Linked DNA regions of Macaca mulatta. The protein of the gene in region 2 purifies or fractionates together with the protein of the main gene of each other region. This does not show direct contact. Links are inferred from orthologs where the notes say so. Each region holds a gene or a part of one and is shown on either strand. Other genes may lie near its edges.

What was found.
Region 1: the proteins of TESK1 (region 2) and RABEPK purify together in Homo sapiens (affinity purification with mass spectrometry; 3 studies listed by BioGRID and IntAct, with this or other methods). This does not show direct contact. The link is inferred for Macaca mulatta from reciprocal best matches to the Homo sapiens genes TESK1 and RABEPK.

What each region holds. Positions count from the first base shown.
Region 1 is NC_133420.1:22,549,178-22,552,677, forward strand, and holds part of RABEPK (rab9 effector protein with kelch motifs), read right to left. Parts: intron 1,609-3,500; coding exon 1,447-1,608; intron 1-1,446. UniProt on the Homo sapiens protein: Rab9 effector required for endosome to trans-Golgi network (TGN) transport.
Region 2 is NC_133420.1:64,090,122-64,094,065, forward strand, and holds the start of TESK1 (dual specificity testis-specific protein kinase 1), read right to left. Parts: upstream 2,801-3,944; 5' UTR 2,588-2,800; exon of another isoform or gene 2,418-2,587; coding exon of another isoform or gene 2,199-2,417; intron 2,054-2,198; coding exon of another isoform or gene 2,027-2,053; coding exon 1,932-2,026; intron 1,801-1,931; coding exon 1,752-1,800; intron 1,199-1,751; coding exon 1,052-1,198; intron 709-1,051; coding exon 626-708; intron 454-625; coding exon 363-453; intron 108-362; coding exon 24-107; intron 1-23. UniProt on the Homo sapiens protein: Dual specificity protein kinase activity catalyzing autophosphorylation and phosphorylation of exogenous substrates on both serine/threonine and tyrosine residues.

The DNA.
Region 1 (3,500 bases), about 42 Mb from region 2:
TTATCTCTGTTCTTTTTCTTTTTCTTTTTTTTTTTTTTTTTTTTTTGAGACGGAGTCTCGCTCTGCCGCCCAGGCTGGAGTGCAGTGGCCGGATCTCAGCTCACTGCAAGCTCCGCCTCCCGGGTTCACGCCATTCTCCTGCCTCAGCCTCCCGAGTAGTTGGGACTACAGGCGCCCGCCACCGCGCCCGGCTAGTTTTTTGTGTTTTTTAGTAGAGACGGGGTTTCACCGTGTTAGCCAGGATGGTCTCGATCTCCTGACCTCGTGATCCGCCCGTCTCGGCCTCCCAAAGTGCTGGGATTACAGGCTTGAGCCACCGCGCCCGGCCCTCTTTTTTTTTTTTTTTTTTTTTGAGACAGAGTCTCGCTCCGTCACCCAGGCTGGAGTGCAGTGGTACGATCTTGGCTCACTTGGAGTCCAGTGGTACGATCTGGTACGATCTTGGCTCACTGCCATCTCCGCCTCCCGAGTTCAAGTGATTCTCTTGACTCAGCCTCCCGAGTAGCTGGGATTACAGGCACCCACCGCTGCACCCAGACAGTTTTTGTATTTTTAGTAGAGACGGGGTTTTGCCATGATGGCTAGGCTGGTTTCAAACTCCTGATCTCAGGTGATCCTCCCGCCACGGCGTCCCAAAGTGCTGGGATTACAGGCGTGAGCCACCGTGCCCGGCCTATCTTTTTAGTTTTATTTATTTATTTATTTATTTATTTATTTATTTATTTATTTATTGAGACAGAGTATGTTACTCAGGCTGAGTGCAGTGGCCCCATCTTGGCTCACTGAAACCTCCTCCTCCTGGGTTTAAGCGATTCTCCTGCCTCAGCCTCCTCAGTAACTGGGATTACAGGTGCGTGCCATCATGCCCGGATACTTTTTTAATTTTTAGTAGAGACCAGGTATGTTGGCCAGGCTGTTCTCGAACTCCTGACCTTAAGTGATCCACTTGCCTCAGCCTCCCAAAGCTCTGGGGCACCAGGCCTCATTATCTCTTTTTAAATGCCAATTTTGCTGTGGGAAAAACATACCAGGTAAGAGATATAACAAAGAAGTCTAGAAGTGAAACAGGCTTTCCTTTTTTTTTTTGAGACGGAGTCCCGCTCTGTCCCCCTGGCTGGAGCGCAGTGGCGCGATCTCAGCTCACTGCAAGCTCCGCCTCCCGGGTTCCTGCCATTCTCCTGCCTCAGCCTCCCAAGTAGCTGGGACTACAGGCGCCCGCCACTGCCCCCGGCTAATTTTTTGTATTTTTAGTAGAGACGGGGTTTCACCGTGGCCTCGATCTCCTGACCTTGTGATCTGCCCGCCTCGGCCTCCCAAAGTGCTGGGATTACAGGTGTGAGCCACCGCGCCCAGCAGGCCTTCCTTTTTTAACTTCTGCTTCCTACATTAGGTAATTTGTAGACTGGGATGGCCCTGACCAGCCCCAAGGTGCCCACCAGTCCATACTTGCGTCAAACACGTGCAGGTTCGTGTCCTGCACAGGCTGGGCACCTCTCTCTCCGCCCCCAAAGACATACAGCTGGTTTCCAATGGCTGCGGATGATGTGTGGAATGTTCTTGGGGATGGTGGGGGGCTGGTCACTTCTGGCGTGGTCCACATCCTGGTTTCTGGGCCAGAGAGAATGAAGGCACTTAAAATACCGAGGTTGAGGGGCTTCTGACCTTGACTCTGGGGCTGAGTGAAGTCAGTTTTCAGACTCCAATCCCAAGTGGGGACAGCCTAGTTTTGGGCAGGGATCTCATACTCACAAACATCAAGGAAGAATGAAGATGATACTTAGGATTTGCCAAGACGGTCCAAAATCCCCAAGATTTAAAAGCCGTAAGTACAAGAATGGGGTCAGGCTGGGTGCAGTGGCTCTTGCCTGTAATCCCAGCACTTTGGGAGGCCAGGGCAGGCGGATCACTTGAGGTCAGGAGTTCGAGACCAGCCTGGCCAACATCGGGTGAAACCCCATCTCTACTAAAATTAGCCAGGCATGGTAGTGGGGACCTGTAATCCCAGCACCACAGGAGGTTGAGGCAGGAGAATCGCTTGAACCCAGGAGGCGGCGGTTGCACTGAACTGAGATTGCACCACTGCACTCCAGCCTCGGCAACAGAGCGAGACTCTGTCTCAAAAAAATAAAATAAAATAAAATAACATAAAATAAAATAAAATAGGCCGGGCGCGGTGGCTCACACCTGTAATCCCAGCACTTTGGGAGGCCGAGGCGGGCGGATCACAAGGTCAGGAGATCGAGACCACGGTGAAACCCCGTCTCTACTAAAAATACAAAAAATTAGCCGGGCGCGGTTGTGGGCGCCTGTAGTCCCAGCTACTCGGGAGGCTGAGGCAGGAGAATGGCGTGAACCCGGGAGGCGGAGCTTGCAGTGAGCCGAGATCGCGCCACTGCACTCCAGCCTGGGCGACAGAGCGAGACTCCGTCTCAAAAAAAAAAAAATAAATAAATAAAAATAAAAATAAAATAAAATCACCCTCTTTGACAGAAGCTTTCCAAATTCTCACTGTATTTTATTTCAATGGATACCACTGTTGAAAATCGAAAGGCCAGGGTTCTAGAACTGATTTCCCTTTGCCAAACCTTAACTACACCAACTACCACAATTATTGAGCATTAATTATGTGCCAGATACTGAGTTTATTTAAATCCTTGACAAATTAACAAGGGCAGAAACTGTTATTATCCAACGTGACAGAACACAGAGGCAGAGAGAGATTAAGTCACTTGTCCAAGGACATAGTTAGTGCCTAGCAAAGCAGAGACCCTCATCTGTGCCCTTAACCACCACATCATACTGCTACTCCTCCAAGCAAATTGGCTTCACAATTAGCCAAATGGTCTGCCAAGTGTCTATCTCTTTCTTCTTCTTTTTTGTTTTGAGACGGAGTCTCACTCTGTCACCCAGGCTGGAGTGCAGTGGCGCGATCTCGGCTTACTGCAACCTCCACCTCCCAGGTTCAAGCGATTCTCCTGCCTCAGCCTCCCAAGTAGCTGGGACTACAGGCACCTGCCACCACGCCCAGCTAATTTTTTTTTTTTTTTTTTTGTATTTTTAGTAGAGACGGGGTTTCAGTATGTTGGTCAGGCTGGTCTGGAACTCCTGACCTTGTGATCTGCCCTCCTCATCCTCCCAAAGTGTTGGGATTACAGGCGTGAGCCACCATGCCCCGCCGTGTCTACTCTATTTCTGACAGTGTTCTGTACCCTGAATATTCAACAATAAACAAACTCTTCCCTTCGAAGCACTTATGTTCCATAGAGGGAGGGCAGGGAGGAGGAGGGACGACAGGAAATACATACCCAAACAAATAAATCAAATTGAAAGATAACATACTGTCTAAATATGCTGAAGGAATTTAAATACTTGACATGTAAGAAAATTTGGTCCTAGTTCCTGAACTCTGACCAACTATTGTACAAATAGATTTTTTTTTAATTTTTATTTTTTTATCGGGCAATACTCAACAAATGCATTAGGTGGGCAACACCCCAAAT
Region 2 (3,944 bases):
TTTGCAAACCTGGAGACATTCACCTCAGTGCGTGGTAGGTAGTCAGGGTCTGCAGGTACTCGGGCGATGAGCTCACAGAGGACAATTCCGAAGGCAAAGACATCAGCCTGGGGGTCAGAGATAACAGTGTTGTGGAAGAATTAACAGTTTTCATTTCAGAATTTTGACAGAATATAGCTGAATTTGGTTGAGGGTGGGGGATCTTGACAGTTTTCATGTGTTGGAAGGGTGCCTGTGAGGGGCAAAGGGATCTTGGGGACTCCTGAAGATCTGGTAGGGTTGTTTTGGGGATGGATGGGGCTTTATGAGAAAACCTCAAGGGTCTCGGAAGGCCTTGGGGATCTGAAGGGTTGATGTCTCACCTTCTCATCATACAGCTCACCCCGTAACACCTCTGGAGCCATCCAGTATGGGGAGCCCACCACAGCCAATGGCTCCTTTCTTGCCCCCTCCCTGCAGGGGCAGGGGCAGGGTGGTCAGAAACATCCTACTCAGGCATCTCCCCCAGGGAAAAGGGGATGAGGTGAACTCCCTTCTCTCCCCAAGGGAAACATCGCTGGGGCTCTGGGGACATCAGATAGGGGCACTCTGGGAGATTTGGGGGGAACAGGGACATTCACCTCACCTATACACAGGAATCTTTTCAGCCAGCCCGAAGTCACCCACGACAGCGGTGAAGCCTCGATCTTCCCGTCGGACTAGACAGTTCTGACACACACACACATAGTATCCCCAAGCACTCATCACCTTCTGCCCTCTGGCCTCCCAATGTATAACCCAAAGCCCTGTCACTCCAGCATAACCCCAACCCTCTCTGCTCTCCCAGTTTTTCAAGGCACTTCAATATCGCAACATCACCCAACACTCCAAACACAGGGTGCTATTCAGTCCCTCCGAGCACTCCCCTCACCCTGGTCCCCCAATATTCTCCAATGCCTCGCCACTCCAACATCCTAATATATCTGTTATCCACATTCCAATGTCCACAGGACAGTTACAACCTAATAGTCTCAAACCCTCTTTCATGCCTCCACCCACCCCACTAGCCTACCTTGGATGTAAGGTCCCGGTGAAATACACCTTTGGAGTGCAGGTACCGCAGGCCTCGGGCAATGTCCAGGGCCAGGCGGAGCCTGACAGGCCAGGATAGGGGTTCAGGGGAGCTGAGCAGCTGTTCCAAGGTCCCCCCATTCATATACTGGTGCATAGGAGGAGAATGGGAATGGATGTCAGACTTCAGTCTGTATTCTAGGTCCCCCACTTATAAGCTAGGGGACACTCCGGAGGATCACAGAGGTCAGAGGGGTAAGATTGTGCTGTAGGACCCTCCATCCATGTTCTAGGGTTGCCCTGTTCAACTCAGTAGCCATTAGCCATGTGCAACAACTTAAATAATTTAAAATTTTTAAAATTTAATCAAGTTGACCCACAAAAAAAATCTAAACAATTAACATAATTTAAATTTAACCACATGTGGCTAGTGGCTACTGTATAGGACAGCACAGATAGAGAACATTTCCATCACTGAAGAAAATTCTATTGGACAGCACTATTCTAGGGGATACAGAGAATAAGACCAGCTGAGGCCTTTTATACGTGGTTTGCCTAAAGGGAAGTTCAGGAAAGCCTCCCCTGGGAGGAGATCCTGTTGCCTCTCACTAGTCCTCCGTAGATCCACCAGGCCTGTTCACTGCCTTTATCCTTGGGGGTGAAGGGGGGGTGGGGATCCCTCCTTCCTGGTCTATCCTCACCTCTGTAAGAGCGTGCAGCTGTCCCTGGTGCACACAGACCCCCATGAACCTGCCAGAGAAGGGGGAAGATAGAAGGGTAGGCTGTTAAGGGCCTCAGCTCCTCCTCAGTTCCACGTTTCCCGCGGGATCTTTCCTTTTCTCTCCCGCCCAGCAAGCTGCCCAGAGACTGGGGCCGCTTACCTTAGGATGTTGGGGTGCCTGAGCCGGTTCATCAGTTGCACTTCTCGTAGTGTGTTGCCCCGGTTACTGGGGAGCTTGTTCATCTTCAGCACCATGACTTGCCCTGACTGTCGGTGCCGAACCTGGGGGCGGGGGCGGCCGGCGAGGGTCGGGCAGGTCGGGAGGGTCGCCCGAGTCTGGACCCTCTTCCCCGCACTCCCGGCCCCCTAGTTGCAGCCTCTGGTTGAAGGCTCGGTCCCGCCCCTCTGCCCTCTCGGCCGGTCCTACCTTGTAGACCTCAGAGAAGAAGCCGGCCCCGATCTTCTCCGCGCAGTGAAAATCGTCCACACGGGCCAGGCTAGACACGGCGCTGCGGAGAGCCCGGTAGGAGGAGGGGCGGCCGCGGCCCGGGCCTCCGCCCGCGCCCCCCGGCCCCGGGGGCCCCTCCCCCGGCACCTCTCCAGGCCCGGGCCCAGGGCCCCGCAGTGGGGGCCGTTCCCCGGCCATGGCCGGGCCCCCAGCCCGGGCCTGCCTCACATGGCAGGGTCCCCGGGGCCCGGGCAGGCCGCGCTTGCCATGGGCGCGGGCCCAGCCAGATCCTGGGCGCCCGGACTCCCGCTCCCGCCTTGAGAATGAAGATCAGCCGAAGATCCTGGACCCGCCCCCGCCGCGCCGGCTAGCTGGGCCCGGGTGGACGCCGCGCCGCTCCGCTCTGCGTAGGCCTGGGCTTGGGCCTGGACCGGGCAGTGGCGGTGACGGTGGCGGCGACGGTGGCGGCAGCGCTCCCGGGCGCCGGCGGGCTAGCTCGCCGCGGGCGGAGGCGGGCGGGCGGGCGGGCGGGCGGCGGCTGCTCCGCTTAGCCGCCGGGGCTCAGGCTCCGCGGCCTGCCGGGGGCGGGGCTGGGCCGGGCCTCCGCTTAACTCCTTCCAGCCCGGCCTCCCGGCAGCGGCCACGCCCCCTCAGGTGCGCACCCCCGCCTCCCCGCTCTCCGGCCGCGAGGCCCTGGGCCGCCCGGGTCAAATAAGCTCAGGCCTGAACTTGAATAACGAAAGGGAATTAAGGGCTGATGGTGCGCATGCGAAGCTTAGCTGCCCAGGGAGTCCCCTGTCCTCCCTGGGACTGTCCGTTGTGGGTCGGGCTCAGAAACCTGCCGGATTCTTGGGCTCCAGGGACCAATGGGGCAGAAACGTAGGCCCCTCAGGCCCAGTCGCAATCTGAGGCAGCCCAGCAACCTGTCCACCTTCCTGGCCTGCGCCGCGGCCCAGCCTGCCCATTTCCCAGGTCTCTTCGACTCCGACACCTTGAACCTCTGGCCTCCCTAACACCTTCTACCTTCACGGGAGGTTGTGATACCTCGGGGCTATAGGGAGCCTTTGACCGGCCCATACCCAGCTTAGCTCCGACTCCTCACTTCATCCTGCCGTCTCCCAATAAAGAAGAGAGTCCAGGTCCTCCGCCCTGTGACTACCCAGCCGGGATCTCCCTCTTATTACTTTGTCCAAATGACTCTAAGAGAGAAGCCACCACCTGCAGGGAAGCCCCTCCTTCCGCAAGATCCCACCCCCTCAAAGAACGCTTTCTCTCGGAGACACCTCCCTTTCGGGAGCACTTTTCCCCAGTGTGGCACTGCCACCGTCAGTGTGTGTCAGAACCCCTCAGTGCTGCACCCCCTTGCTCTGTGTTCCTCCCACGCAGTGAGACCCCACCTCCGAGTGACTCCACTAAGTCATTGTGACCCCTCCTCTCAAGGTGACTCCTCCCCTCAGTGTGACCCAGCCCTCCTCAGTGTGAGGGTTCCGCCCTCCACGTAGGAACACGGTCTGTCCCCTCAGGCCAGAGGAGGGGCTGCAACTGGCCTCTTTAAGTCGGCGCGGTGCCCGGGTGCGCATGCAGTCTGCGGACTCTGTGCACTTGCCGTACCAGGTACTTCCGGTTCTGCCGCTGGCTCCGCCTCCGGCCTCGGCAAAATAGCCAATCATCGCCAGGGTTGGGTGGTGACACGCGATCCCGGCAGGCCACTCCGGGGCAAACGGT